2 linked regions of the Styela clava genome follow. The protein of the gene in region 1 purifies or fractionates together with the protein of each later gene. This does not show direct contact. Links are inferred from orthologs where the notes say so. Each region holds a gene or a part of one and is shown on either strand. Other genes may lie near its edges.

The links.
Region 2: the proteins of SH2 domain-containing protein 4A-like (region 1) and uncharacterized protein LOC120327913 purify together in Homo sapiens (affinity purification with mass spectrometry; 3 studies listed by BioGRID and IntAct, counting the BioPlex papers as one, with this or other methods). This does not show direct contact. The link is inferred for Styela clava from reciprocal best matches to the Homo sapiens genes SH2D4A and PPP1R7.

What each region holds. Positions count from the first base shown.
Region 1 is NC_135250.1:4,400,757-4,409,037, forward strand, and holds the start of SH2 domain-containing protein 4A-like, read right to left. Parts: upstream 3,219-8,281; 5' UTR 3,182-3,218; coding exon 3,077-3,181; intron 2,602-3,076; coding exon 2,532-2,601; intron 653-2,531; coding exon 544-652; intron 1-543. UniProt on the Homo sapiens protein: Inhibits estrogen-induced cell proliferation by competing with PLCG for binding to ESR1, blocking the effect of estrogen on PLCG and repressing estrogen-induced proliferation. May play a role in T-cell development and function.
Region 2 is NC_135256.1:8,592,678-8,600,907, reverse strand, and holds the start of uncharacterized protein LOC120327913, read right to left. Parts: upstream 3,001-8,230; 5' UTR 2,876-3,000; coding exon 2,861-2,875; intron 2,419-2,860; coding exon 2,317-2,418; intron 1,640-2,316; coding exon 1,440-1,639; intron 785-1,439; coding exon 622-784; intron 55-621; coding exon 1-54. Other genes in the region: transmembrane protein 126A-like, read right to left, coding at 3,619-3,877, 4,239-4,353, 4,676-4,872, 7,126-7,220. UniProt on the Homo sapiens protein: Regulatory subunit of protein phosphatase 1.

The sequences.
Region 1 (8,281 bases):
ATTTAGTTTCGTCACGAGGCTTATTGTTTTCCACTTTTGCATTTGTAAGTATTATTCATAGAATGTAACTTTTCACGCTATACTCACATAGCCCGCCAGTCTAGGTGGGCAAAATTTTTGGCCCCTTGTTTAAATACCTTGCTCACCCCTGGTATATACGAAACTATGATAGTGTGTGCGATGCACATCTCAAACCCGACACGCTACCTCACTCCGCAGGGTGCAATAAATTAGGTATGCTATACCAAACCGGAATGATTTCGTTTCTTCCCAGAATAGTAACTCTTTGCATATTAGAGCTACTTGTACGGAGCCTTGTTCAGAGCGAAATACGTAACATAAGCGTCACATAAAATAGGATGAAAGGTAACAAGCTTTATTTTTTAGCTATATTTTTTGGAAACTCGTTAAAAACAAAACAAAACATTTAATCGAAGAGCAGGAGACCGCAGTGTGCTGAAAGTCTTTGAAAGTTGGCAACGGCTCATGAAAGATAGAACCACGGTACTAGACTTATTATAAAAACATACATGATATACATACCCTATATTTGCCCATATTTCTTCAACAGTTACATCGTTAGGATGTTCCCCCATTACCCATGTCCAAGGCTGGCCATTGCTGTCTTCCAAGATACGAATTTTTGCAGATTCTGAAATATTTAGATATTAATACACAATATTATAAGCTGTGGTTCTCAGCCTTTCATGGCTCATGGGCCTCCTTCCGGAAGGTATCAGCCCCCCTTACTCGTGCCCCCCTTAATATTATTCCTGTAGTATTTAGAGTGTTGTTTCGATTGGTTGATTACAAATCTCATTATGTTTAAACCATTCATGGTACGCAAAGTGAAACACTCTTTGAAAAAATTTATTAATAAGCAATGAAATTAGAAAAACGGGGAGTTGTTTTGTGGAAGGAACTGTAAAAATAGTTCTGCGAGTCATAAAAGGTCGGGAACCACTGCACTAGAGATTCATTCGTGAACGTTAGCTTATGTAAACAGCGATAAAAAAAACATCATTAGGTTTCTATCTTTTTTCTATCTATCCATTCGAAATCGAAATTTTGTAATAAAGTCAATATTATCATATAATATCGGTGTTTGTTCATAATAATACTGTTTATTCCATAATTGCATTGAGTGGGTGGTATATCTATGTTTGGTTAATATACAACTCAATATTGTATATCAGACGTCAACTTTAGATATAAAATCCCCGCTGTCTAGTCGTAAGTGGTGCTTTTATAAACCTCTTTCGATTCGGCTTTTTAATATTTTTAATGTTGAAGATAATATTATCGGTACTCCTGAAGTATGCGCACCAAGATGTCGCATAACCTGAACCCTAACCTGGTACACAACCTGAGTCAAGGTTGTGCGCCATCTTGGTGCGCATACTTCAGGAGGCCCATATAATCTTTACTTTCAGAAATTTATTTTCAAAAATAATGACGAAATTACACGGTTATTACTTAAATAAACCAGGGGGCTCTCAGGGGGTGTTATAAAGTTCGTTAGGAGGTTGACTATTATTGAAGGAGCCCCACAATAAATTTATGAAAATAAAAATATCTATTGGGATTTTTAGACAATGTGATATTTGAATTACAGCCTCGATTTCGAATTTTGTTAATACTTTTATTTGCATCTTTGAACAGTTACAAAATTAACCAAGTTGATATTTGAATTGATCGCGGAGCCCCTAGGTTTCTCCTGGGGCTAAACACTTTGAGAAACAATAACTTAGTTCTTCAACAATATAGGGAACACGTAAATTAAAATATTCGTGAAATTGGCTGCAGAGTATAATAATAAAAATATTCACGTATATAGGCAGCTCCCACTTTAGTATTTTTGACCTCATTTATATGGCTTTCTACCATGATGTAACAAAAAACTTTAGCTCATCTACAAAGAAACTATTTAATTTTAAGACCGCACACAAAGAAAGATGTGGATCAAATAAAACTTCATTTACTTTACTATTTTTTAAATTTACTTGGACAAAGTGGTTTTGTGAGAATTTGGGAGTAAACATCGCGGCGAATATGTGCAATAATAGTTTGAACAAAGAATCACATATAACTAAAATGTAAGAGGATAAGACAGAAAAATATGAAATACTCGACATCATCTAAAATATTATTAGGGAATAATATAGCAATACTCAAATATATGGACACGAAGATTGCCCATCGGTACCGGTACGGTTGTACGGTAAGCCCGAGAGTACCGAATTTTTCTAAGAAGATCCGCGGATAAGCAATGCTGAGAAAAAGGCTTTTACCTACAGTTGAAAACATAACAGAGTTTTTGGTGAAATAATGGGTGAAATAATGAGGAATTTTGAACAATTCGAAGAAAGTTCCTTCTAGCGACCATACTTCGATCTTTAATTATTAAGATTTGAAATTGATTTGCCCAAACAGCATTTTCGCAAAAGATACATTTTTACACTCCCTCTCAAATAACCGCTTCACCGAGAATTAGAGTACCGCAGAATAAGTACAAAATAGCCATTGCTTACTTTCACTTTGATTCGATTTCTTCGCCATCTTCTTTTCAAACTGTTTTTCACTTTCATAATATCGCCGTTTCTGTAAGACACATGTAAAGTAAGCTTTGATAAATAATTTAATTAGGATGAACTGTGTATTTACACCGTGACAATGAGTTCATGAGCATTCAGCATAGAACATTAAAACGTAAAAGATTATGTTCAAGGAGGCGAGAAAACGTAGTGGTTAGACAGGGGTGGGCAAGGTTTTTAGACACAGGGCCAAAAATGTTGCCCACCTAGACTGGCGGGCCATGTGAGTGTAACGAAAAACCTTGTAGAAAACAATAGGCCTCGTGCCAAAACTAAATTTAATCGCAATCACAACAAATTCCTTGAGCTATTTTTATCTGAAACCTCAAAATTAGGTTTAAGATTAGGTAAATCTCAAAAAGCCCATATACCGCATCTTTTGAGTGAAATATTTATAAATTGAACGGCAGACTCACACTTTTCTGGCCCAAGGCCCATGGCCTTGTTCCAAGCAAACTATAAAAAATAAAACTTTTACTAACCTGTTCTTCTCTGATTTTGAAAAATAAAATTTGTTTTTGTTCTTCCGGTAATTCCGCCAATATCTCGGGATCAACGTACATATCTTTGATTATTTGTTTCAACATTTTGCTTTGCTAGTTTATTTACTGATAAAATAAAATTCTGCGAAAATGGAATGTCACTATATTTAACAAAAATTTGTAAAAATATATCTTACTTTTATATTTCTGAACCCTCAGTCTCATCAGACATATAAATCTGTGCCACTAAATTTACATATTGAATCATTAGATTTCGATACCAGCGTAAGGTAGAAAGGAGTCTCTAGCCGAGTCACGAGCCACTCAAGTCGAGTTACCCTTACTGGCGATTAGTTGATGACGAGTCCGAGTAATTCCATTTAGATGACTCGGATTCAGGAGTGTACCCAGGTAAGGGGTATGAGGGGGAGTGCAGCTGCGGGGCGGAATTCCTCTTTTGAAATGTTAAAAGACATTTTTCGGGGCTCCCGAAGTATGCGAACCAAGATGGCGGACATCGGAATGTAATATGTGTACTAGGTTAGGATTAGGCCATAATTTTAGGTATAAATACTACGGGAGGCTCTTGGCTAGTCTTCGAACTGATAATATGACTAAAATAAGGAAAATTGGAAAAAAATTATTGCCTAACCCTAACCTGTTACCCATGTTACGTTCCGATGTCCGCCATCTTGGTTCGCATACTTCGGGAGCACCCATTTTACTGTATCCTACATAACAATTTTTCGTAGCTAAAACGCTGTTAGATGTTCATGGCTCTTGAACTCCGCACCCGCAAGCTGTTAGATCTAATTTGACAATTAGGAATTTTAGACCTCTCACCACCATTTGAAAATTCCTGATACGAACCTGCTCGGAGTCACTACTAGAGTGGGAGGCTTCTTGCAATGAGACTTTCTATTTTAAATGATTCGATTTGAGCTATTTGTAATAAAATTATATTTCAACAGATACTCAATATTATTTATGATCTTCGAAGATATCCATTCAACAGCACGACAGCGGGTACGCTGACCAAAGGGGAAATGCGTTAGCTATACTAACTGAATTAAATCCAAACATTGTAGCTCCTCAAGTCTATGTGATTGTTTAGAGAGCTTTATAAGTAGATGAGCATATATAAGAAAAGTACTAGATAAGAAGACCGGTATGTAAACGAAATTCGTCCTTTCAACGGGTATGCGCCATAAACAGACATAATCAATGCTAGAAAGATACTCATCTACAGTACACCCGATGCAATGTTCAATAAACTGAGCGCTGGTTTAAACTTTTGGGATTTAGAAACTAAATTATTAAAGCCAATAGAGTTGAAACATTAAGCACGGACATACATGAAGATTAGAAAATAAATATATCTTCCTTATGTATATATGATAATTCTATTAGGTTCTATTAATTTTTAATAGATGTTTACACAGTAAACCATTAGTGGTAAAACGAGTGGAATTTTTTTGTAAAAAATCCATAATTCAATTTGCGAAAATTAAAACATAATCTGGTTTATTATGCGTTTGCTTTTTGTATTCGATCTCAGATAATAAAAAAACGATTTAGTATTTTGCCAACCTGCAAAAATATTTCGAAATGCAAGAAGTTTTTTTCGTCGTACCCGCACTGCTTCATACTTTTCGATACTTTGTTCTGAGAAATGTCAGTGATAAATTCTAGGATTAATTCAGTTATTTCAAGAATAAAAAAGAGATATGACGTAGAAATCACGGTAAACTGAATAATTCACGCATATTGATTTCCCTAAATTGTCAAAAACCCGTCTCGAACAGCTATATCCATTCGCATTTAACGAGCATGTTCCAAACAGAATTAACTTTAAAAATATAGGCTCAATATAGGCTACATCTGCTTATAGATAGAACATTGGTACATCGAACTTTAGGTATCGAAATCGACCGAGTACCATTGCCTCGAAACACGAAGCATAGTATTTAGTATGGCACTGTAGTACGGCTTTCTATACCATACCATCGGAGTCCATGATGTGAAACGAGTTATTCTCACAACCAAGGTTGATTGCTGGTCTAAACTAAACGTCGTTGCCCACTTTATATTTAGGCGACAGGTCGGGCTTACTTTTCCCTGAGATAAAAGAAAAATCCTATCTCAAGTTCACATAACTCAAAATATAAATCAGTCGGTGCCGAATACCTAATTGATAACAAAACATATATATATATATGTGATATAAAATTAGACTGACTATTGGTAAAGTTATATAGTAAGTCTTGTAGAATACCTGCGACCCGTTAATCAACTAACTTTACCCATCGTATATATAAAATGCTACTTTATCCCTAGGAAAGGCGCAGTCGTCTGTACGAGATTGAGACGTTTTTTTTCCGGGCATTGAATATAAAAATCTTATGTCCAGTGATGGGATTCAATATTTTAACAATAAACTTTCTTTTTGTATAGAACTCGTTCGCTCGCTCATTTCAAAAAATTTATATATGTATGCGATTACTTAAGCTACATTATCATGACATGTTTACATAATTCTAATATATAGCCTACATACATAACTTTCGAAATGCAAAATATAGGCTAGTCGTCAGCTGTGGTGCACGTTACCCATTTGCTTCCTCGCCGTGTGTGTACGTGTAAAAACAAGAACAGGTTAGTGGATCATGACAACATTCCGAGAACGGGATCGCCCCTGAATCACACCGCTGCCTATGGCTATATGCACTAAACGGAGTGGCCGCTAAACGGGGTGGAAAAACATAAAATTTGTCGAACAGCTATATATTTTTACAAGTGAAGATTTGAAAACGAACTTTGAACGATATCCCACAAGTAAACTCTTTTAAACGCTATGCAAGCTCGGACTTCTTGGTTAAGACACTGCTCTGAAGTGCACGGAATCGTTTTGAGCATCTATAAATGTAATATACCATGTGTCTTTAGAGATCTCCGTAAAAGTTATTCTTATATATATTAAAGGATAACATCACCTTGCTACAGTTTGCTATGTGGAATAACCTTAAAACTGAAACAAATTCTTTTTCGGCGTGGATATGATGTCAATTAGACAATAACAAACACGTAAAAGCGAAAGTCTTTTTGTTTGGTGATAACATTTTATTGATAATTTACAGCTTCGAATGACGCGATACAAAATAGTTTAGTTATAAAGCAATTAATTTTAATGAGCCGTGTTGTATTTTGTTTCACCCCGTAAAAGTATACATTACCGGAGCTGGTACGGTAATTAACATTAGAAAAACATCACGAAAAACTAGGGCGTCATGAAAATTGTGACCGTGCTGCCGTGTTTCCCCGAAAATAAGACAGGGTCTTATTACAATCTTCTTTCGAAAAATAACGCTGCAGCCGAACATTTGCAGCCAATTCTGTCACATAAAACTAGGTTTTTCAACTGTATTGGCTTCGAAAGGCTTACAAATAATTATACTAAACATTTGGTTTCTGCGAGACTAACTATTTGTCCTTCTTTTATGCTTTTGTGCCGATGGACCCGTATGCATATAATACATGGATGCTGTAGCAGGAGTAAGGATAACTATCCTAAGAGATTCAACAGTTTTGCTGCACGCTAACACTATTCTGTCCAACGCCAGACGAAACATTACAGAAATATATTTGTGTTAGTGTGCAACACGACTCTTGAATCACCCATGCAAATATTTATAAGTCCAGATTTCCCGTTACAATTCTACCTTATCCAGTTTCTATTATTTCTCATTCACAGCTCAGAATACACAATTCAGCTCGCATCTACACTTCACTGATTTTCCTTCCCACTCAAGCAGCCATGTTGATGAAATACTTCAAAACAGCGTAACCGTAGACGGCTTGTTTTCACACTTTTTGCGAATACATGTTTGCAGTAATTGTAAAATTTGATAGCTCCGCATGATTGGGTGGCGCCTATATGAGCTCGTGCGTTTCAAGGCGAAAACCATAAAAAGTAGCAAACTTGGAATACGATAAGGGAATGCAAATCAGGAAGTATCCAATACGAATATAATAGCTGAATTTCTATTTAGCATTGCGTTATTTCAAAATTACTTAAAAAAATATAAGCTGAACTCGGTAGCGTATTAGAGGCACTAAACCACGGCCTCCATCACTACAGTTCGATATTATGACGTAACATTTTAAACTATGACGTAACGTTTTGAAATTTCTGTCAAACTCATCGAGAATATACTTAATGGCGTATTCGTCTACACTCAAACCCTGAAAAAGGTGTTCAAGAACCTCGAATAACAAAGGCTTGGATTCATAGGCTCAAAACAAATTAAGGTACAGATTCCCCATAATTAAAAGTTACTTAATTGCAACTTGAAAACGAAAATTGTTTTAATATTACTCTTTCTCACCACATAATTTCATGGCTATAGTAAATAATGGTATCCTACAGCTATTTGCAATGTCGTCCGCAAAATTTCACAGAAAAATAAACAAAAGTCCATATGGCGCCACGCGGACTTTGGCTATGATGAAATTCAGAATAAAGACCGTATGGTATTGGTAACACAAAAGAAATGGAATCTACCTTTTTGGTGGTAATATACCATTTCATGTAACCGTTTGTAGTTGCACGAAAGGCGCAATGCAGCCAGACCTACCGTGAAATATTGTTTACCTTATATGTATATTAAACAGACCTAAAAGAAGTGTATATGTACCGATATGAAGGTAACTAACTTTGTTCGCCTACTTTACATTAAGTTGTGTAAAGGGACTGGTACCTATGGCCAAGGAGTATATTCTCGTAGTAGAATTTAAATAAAGAAAATCGGAATAAAATTATGCCTTAACCCTAACCTGGCACACATACTACGAGAGTACCTAATAAACAATCGATATGCTGAGCTAAATGCCGAAGCAATGAACAGATGGGATTTCTTCATAACGTAGCTCATATGCGAGTGAGGTAAATATTCATTTCGAAGTACACAATCTAAATATGCTAACTTAATAGCTAAATGTAGCAGCAGTAAATGTGTATGTATTCTCTTGCTATACCGTCTATAAGTAATTTTTAGACTTTAAGTTGTTTGCTGCCTTTGCTTTGGAAAACTAACATAAAGAACATCATTTACACTCCTGCCTCCCAAAAATAATTCACTGCCAAAGTTAAGGAAATCTTCCCTATAAGATGTATCAAAATATATATTATAGTAATAAATTACCTAT
Region 2 (8,230 bases), on another chromosome or scaffold:
TTTTCCTAAGTAAAGTTCTTCCAGATTTTTGAGAGATTCAAGATTTTCTATGTGCTGAGAAATACAAAAAGTAGAGATTAGTACGAATGATCAATTTAGGGAATTCATACCAGGCTGAGAAGCGGGGTTGTCTGACTTTATTCATGTCAAAGCCAATATCCTATTTTCAAATTAAATGCAGTTTTTTGAGATTTCCCAGTCAATTTTTAATTATGCAGATAGAACATTTCTAGACAGACACCCTAAATTTATGAGATGGAGTCGCTTTTCTTAATTGAAATATCAAAGAAGCATTAATTCTGTCATCCCGGAGGGGTAGTCAGAGCAATTCCAACTCTACAATCTGCTCAAACATCCCCCAATTCCAATACTATATTCATGGCCTTTATATCATTGAATTGTTAACAAGAGAAAGCATGCAGTAGTCAATGCATTTATGAGTATGTTTACCTGGATTTGGATGTACTAAAAATATTTTAATACACTACTTAGTTACATTCAACCATAAGAAATGTTAATAAAGTGTACAAAGAATACAGCCCATATACCGGTATTCCATAGAACATTATCTGGAGCAGTGGAAAACACACAAAAACTGATGTCATAAAATATTGCTTTTACCTTTACTCTGTTGTCACCCAACTCCAACAGAGTAAGTTCTGTAAGTGAGTTCAAATTTTCTATTTTTGAAATTTTATTTGAAACAAAGTAGAGCTTCTTTAACAGAGTCAAACTTCCAATACATTCCATTTTTCTTATTAAATTGAAGGACAAATCCAAAACCCTGAAAAAGGATTTTGAACATTTAAAATTTGCTGCTGTGAAGATGTTCACCAATTACCATGGTTTCTCATCAGTTGAGAATATATCTAAAGCGAATATATATATACTGTAATATTATTAAACTTACTTATATTACTGTGAAACTAGAGGAACAGCGTGAAAATAAGCCATAAAAACAATTCACAACATATTCATATTTGGCAGAAAAATAAACCAAATTGTCAAAGAAAGTTAAATGTATCTTATCACCTAGTAAAGCGTTCAGAATTCAAACTGATTGATCAAAAAATTTGAATATGTAAAATATTCAAATTTCAGGCATTTCCAAATATCTGAGGAATTAGGAATAGAATTGAATATTTTTTTCGAGTCGAATCTTGGATACTTGAAAGATATTTAAAGTAATACAACGTAATTGTATGTGACTCTTTTATTGTGATGGGTCATCCAGACACACAAATTAATGAAAAAATCACTCAATCAGTTCACCGAGTTGTCATATACAGTAGAATACATGTTTCATCAATAACTCGATAGGAAGAAAAGAGTCAAATTTCAGAATTGAATTTCAGAAAAATGGCTTCAATAAAATAATCAGACTAGAAAAACAAAATGGTAGGGATACAAAATCAACACATAAATATATACGAACTCACTCTAGTTTTGTTAAGTCATCTAGATTCTCAATTTTCTTCAATTTATTATCATAAAGATCAAGATTTTTTAATGTTCCCGAAAGACATTGCAATCCTGAAGTGTTCTTTATTGAATTATTCCTCAAGCAAAGTTCAACAACATGGGTAAGGTATTCAAATCCTTTTAAATCCCCGATTCGAAAGTGCTCAAGATTAACATACTGCAAATAAAATAAATAGTGAACACCTAATTACTTTTTGCTATTAATCAGACCACAGGTCAACAAAAACATTGATAGAACCCCTACTATAACATCGAGATAATATCACAGGGATACCTCGGTAGTCAAACATAATTCGTTCCAGATTGCTGTTAGAATACTGATTTGTCAGAGTACCGAATCTTTTTTGGGTAACAAACAACAATGCTGACTATTTTAATTCGTTCTTACATATTCCAAAATACCAGAAATATTAACAAACGAGTCCCAAACAACAATAATTATTTAAATGCGTACATATTAAAGAGTAAATATAATAACAATGAAAATTTTATCAGTTAGTTACTGTAAGTGCACAAATTTTCGTCGAATTCGTTTTTATGTGCGATGATGTACCAGTAGTCTACTGTGACTTCATTTTGGGCTTTGTGTCCGTATATTTGAGCATCGCTCCCTTGTTGAATGGTCAAGAGGCATGTTCGAGCACATTTTTGACTAGAATTTTTTGGCGACTACTGAATTGTTCGAGTATTGAGTCATTTGACTACCAAGGTATCACTGTAATGGGTTTCGTGTGCTCTGAACAATAACAGAGTATGGGTCTTTAGGCATGCTTGTATTGTTTAGCAGTGTAACCGAAGTTAATAAAATTGAAATACATTACAAATAAGACTTACTTCTGCATCTGCCTCCACTGCTTTCCTTATGTCAAAATCATCATTTGTATTGTCTTCTTCCGCTTTCTCTTCTTCGCCGTCTGTTAAGACATCTTTATCAGCCTGCAATAACAAGAAATAAAAACCACAATGTATTTTAGAATGACATATTGAAAATGCTTTCATATCTCAGACTCAGAAATCAATTATATCTAAAATTATTCAGGTTTTCAGCAAAACAAACAAACATGCAACGTTAACTAGCATGTATAATTACCATCCTAACAGGGCAATTTGTAGGTTCTTCGTTTTTGAATTCTCTGTTCACAATTTAGCTGAACTACGTACAGTCAAAATGCAATAAAATAGGCGGGAAAACTTTGAAGATATGTAATATATACCATTAACAAGAACCAAAGATGCAAGAACTGGAGAGGACATGTCATACTAAAACTAAGTTTTTTTATCAATGCAGCCCACCAATGCCAGAAATAATTGTACGTAGAGTTGGAAAAAATATCCATTACATTTCATTCCACTTCAAAGTTCAAAAATTGTATTTCACCTCACCGTCTTGCATTTCTATCCGTTGTCTTCAACAAGTTGATTACCCAGCTGAACTATCATAAGCATTAGAACTAGTTGTTCATCTTAAAAATGAAAACAGTGTTGATGAAATGTAGCAATAGCAGCATGGTGCAGGAGAAATGCTGATAACCAATGCAAATATAAAGCTGTAGTAAACTGTCACAAAGTGGTATGAATCCACTAACAGAATACACATTTTTCGTAGGTTGTTTTTCCTGATTATAGAAAATAAGTCATTCAAACCAAGAGAAACAAACAATTTAGCAGATCCACAAACACAAAAGCAGGGAAGAAGAATCAACAATAAGGTACATACGTGTTACTTCAAACACCACATATTTATTTTGCAAGATGCAAATTTTACATCAAAATCATGTCGACTAATAGCATCAGGTGTTACAATTTAAAATTTGCATCAATTGCACCATACATCACAAATTACACAAAACTTTATCGTATGGTACAGAAAAATTTTGATATCATTGGATTATTCAGTAGTATATTTTTCACCTTTTCAATTTAAATCGATAAAAAACTAAACAATAATCATGTTATGTATGGCATTTTGATTTGACATTTTTGCAACAAAGTTCTTATAAGTCAAAAAAGATAACTTTAACGATGACGCCATCAAATACTAGTTGACAGCAAAGTCAAACTATCCATATGGTTGTGTAACTTCCACAAGCAAACTGCACTACATATCACTTGGTGATCAACAAAAGGTTCCATCAGCTATCCATTGTATTTGACCAAACTTCGATAATCAGAAGAAACTGCATTAGCTATTGCATCAAGTTCTTCATCAGTTACAGTATTATGTATTTCTTTCATGATAACACTTTGTTTATAAGCAACATAGGCCCCAAAAAGTGATTGAAATCCAAGACTTAAAAGGAATAAAGATTTTGTTGATCGCAATTTTCCGCTCCAAAATCTATAGGCTTCTATTCTATTTTTCCATCTTAGTGCTGGTATATGCAAATTAGTGTACCTGAAATGAAAAAATTTAACAAAACTGTTGAAAAAATCAGAGAATTGATTCGATAGAGACACTGAAATGATGTTAGGCTGTCCATATGAATATTTCAATGCTCTGAAATCATAGTCTGCAATTTTATTTGATCAACCCATGAAGAATACTATCAAATACCACCTAGTTTCCCACTGAACTGATTAGCCTGCAGGGCAGCAAATTTGAACAATATTATTCATAATTCCGCTGTAAACCTAACTAATTTAACCAATTCATCAATTACAGTCAAATTTTTGAATATAATTGTTTCTTACCAAATTATTCACTAATCCATAGAATGGTATAATGCATGCCTATTTCTTCATTAAAAAAATCTTACCGATCAGCAATAACAGCATTTGCTGCTAAGGAAGTTGCAATTGGAAGAATAGTTGATGACACAGCCTGAGAAAAACCTCCTCGAATTGTAGTACATGTCATGCAAAAATCAGGATCTACATATGCAGTGTAATTTAATGATAATGTTGTCAATAATCATGATTAATGCCTCCGTTAGTTTCACACCCATAAATTGGTTTGAATAAGTTGTCAGCAAACTTTATGACAGTAGCGTGTGGGCCACATTAATTTCCGCCTATAAACAATGGCACATTGAAGTTAAATTTATAAATCGCCTATTTCTGTGTTAGTTACAACAGCTGTTGGTATGTTCGATGGGTAACGATCTACTACTGGCAGTTACTTTTGCTGATTCAAAAATCAGATTCTCTAAATCCAAAAAATTTTTAATTTCAGGAATTTGTATATAAGATATACCTGAAAACATTGGAGACTGAACAAGAAGTTTATCTAGTGCAAAATGTGATCCAATGGCAGTGATCGAAACAGACACCGCTGTTACTATTACTCCTTCGTACAAGACCAATGCTCGCTTGAGGGCAACATTCATAATAATAGCAGATGCAGTGGCCACGGCACTTCTGATGTTCACATTATCAAACTGCAGCAGATTTCTTAAAAAGAACAACAATAGCATAACGGCAACTTGGCATGATAATTTTTAAATCCAGTGCGAAGAGCACCGTATTTTTCTTGTCATTGACAATTTTTCATCTTAGAATTTCCATTTAAATTTTATTTCCATAAGAGATTGTTGTGAAATACCTTGATTATTACAACTGACTAAAATAAATTACATTAAAATTATAAGTCAAGTATCTCTAGCATCGTTGCTTTACAGATTCTATAATACCCCTTCTTAATGTAGTAGATGACATACACGACATACAATGAAACTAAAACAGTGCACCGAAAGTGCAATTCACGACGACGTAATGCGTTTAATGAACTATAAGTATAATGTATGGTCGCTCACATCAAAATTCCACAGTTACGTGCAGCCCGTCTCTCTTTGCCTGACGGTGTTCCCATTAATCCGTAGTCAGCGGGTACCCGCATTTAGAAATAAAACGTGAAAAATCGGTAAAATTAATTTTTTAGAGAGAACTATAACTCCCAGATGTCAGTAGCGTCATAATGGTTTATATGTACTTGCTCGCATGTAGCGCCGATCAAAAGTATGAAATGTGAAACTATTACTTGGAATTCATTGTTAATGGAGTCGATTTTTTTTATTTCCGTTAAATGATTATTTACATGCGCCATGATTAGTGGCGGGTAGAATCGTATTTTTTAATCGAGTTATTCGAATATTTTTAACGAACATCAAATAATGAGTATTGTCATTCTAAACAACATTAATTGGGAAGTCAGCCGCCGAAACGATCGCTGTCACAGTAAATTTTTTTTTTGAATTTACTAGATAACTGAAAACTCCGTAAGAGCCACGTTTTTTTATTTCATAATATTTTCATAATCGAAGGCCTGACTAAATTTTTTGTCACCGCGATCGTTTTGGCGGCCGATACCCAATTAATGCTGTTAAACTATATGCAAAGGCATTTAGAGCAAGGAAAGGTAGTTAGTTTCACGCAACCTCAACTGTTAGTTAAACTATATTAAAGTACTTTTTTATTCACTAGCAAATATTTATCCTCACGGCGGATATCATAGTTTGGATTTTATATATTGAACATGATTGTGAGTTCACATCGACGAAGATGTTAAAGACAACTATTAAGGGGTGCAATAGTGCATTCAAAACACAAATTAATTTTATTCTGATTTTTATCTTCTGTGTAGGATTTGTATCACAGTTTGTGAATTAAGGTCCCAATTTTAAGCGAACATTATTATCATTACTGACCCCGGGATGCAAAATTTGTGAAGCGAATAGTTGACATTTCTATGCTTTTAATTTTTGACTGTGTCCGTGTTACTTTCGTATTAAATAATAATTGAAAAACTCTGCAAATTGGTATTCTCTTGAATACTCAAGAGTTGAATATTCACGTTGAAACTCAGCTTTGAATTAAAACCCTCTTTTTTTTTATTGATACTAAACACATGAATAAATCGGCAATAATTGGCATTTCTACATGGTCAAAATAATATTTTTTCTAATATCTCGAGAAATTTACATGAAATACATTATTTACCTGTATTACATAAAATTAATGTTAATAAATTCTATTTTGCTTTTCAATGCGCTGTGATTTGTATTAATAAAAGTGATTGAGTCAGGAAAAGAAAGTTCTTAAATTAGCTTATAACCTTTTTGTCCTTTTGATCGGGCGGTAAAATTCGTTTCATGTCTGTTTCATGGAGAGAAAGGTGAATACGCTTTCCGAAATTCGGATATAAAAGATAATATATCGTGAAGGCAAAAAAAAGTCTGGCTAATTGCGCTACGGTGATAACACACAGAATTATATCGTTTTGACAGCGAAACCATGATACGCAACCGTAAAACGACGCTGTTGCTTTTTTGTAGATGAAATTTCACTTTTTTCACATCAGGAATTTTTCACAAACGGTAGGGTTACGACACATGTATATAATGTGTAAATATACACATCCTAGCACAAAATGATTGGGAACATTTGTTTTTATGTGTAGGAATTTTCTGCGATTCTGTCAGCTCTAATTTCGTGATTTTCTGCTAACTTCACAGAGGTTCTTGAGTCACTTTAGTAGCCTTTGGTACTGTACTGACGTAATATTAAAAATACTGTAAAAGGCTGTAAGTACAGAAGCAATATTTCTGCATTTCATGCAGTCATGGCTGCATTCCTATCGATTTCAATGCAGGTACCGGTATAATAAATCAGACATAATTCCGAGTAAATGGCATCAGTTTTCCATACCTTTCTTTTTGAGCTAGCTGTGACACTTTACTGGCCAAGAGGTCATAGTATGTAGTTGGATTTGAAGAACTGGAATGATCTTTTTTTTCCACCATTGCATACCGGTACCGGTAGGTACGGTATCCTTTTCACCCGACAACACACGTTTACTACCAGACTATTATCTGATTATACAGAGCTAGGCCTATAATAGCTCTTTTAAGACCAGCAGCGTCCTAAAGTTAATATAAGACAATATCGGTAAAGCATTCAATAGACAGATAGGCCTACTATTTATTCCTACATTAAGTAGGCCTATTCTATTTACTGGTATTCGTATCCTAATTCATGTAATTAGGCTATTCCTACATTAAGTCAACTGTTGTGTTTTTTCATTACGGTACCTTTCTTGATATTTTAATATTGATTGTTTGTTTATACAAAGTTTACAATGTATTGCATTTTTGAAATGCATTTTTTTGTTGTTTAAACCAAATTCTAATTTGTTTTGATGACCCAACCCATGCTTCTGATTACATTGCACTAGTGTGTGTATAGTAGAATAGAACTCCACCCATATTTGCTTATTCAAAATCCAACTTGATATGTTTAACTTATATTCATTCAATAAAACAAGTTACCCAAATAGCAGAATAATGGGTACCGGTACCGGTACCGGTACCGTAGCTTGTCTGACCTGCTTTCCCACTTTTTTTCGTTTCGATCATTTTATATTTTGCAGTATAATTTCAATTTGTGCAAAATCCCATTATTTAAAAGAATGCTTCCATAATTGAAAATAGTAAATTCATGTAAATATTGTACATAGTATAAATCGTGAGAGACATTGATATATTGGCACGAACCTGTTATTTTTATGCTTATTTAATATAATTGGGTGGCAACTGACTCTGATGACCCCCACCCAAAGGTCGTATCGTTGCCCCCCAGTCATATACCGAAAACTATTTTTTTTGATATTTGTTTATGTGTGCATAAATTGTTTTCTTGGTTTGACAAAATGAAATAAACTCTCTCTCTCTACTAGAGAAGCGGCACCAACCTTTTTTTCAAGCAACCTATTGGACCTTTCACCTCCTGGGAATTTTCCCCATGGACCTTTGAC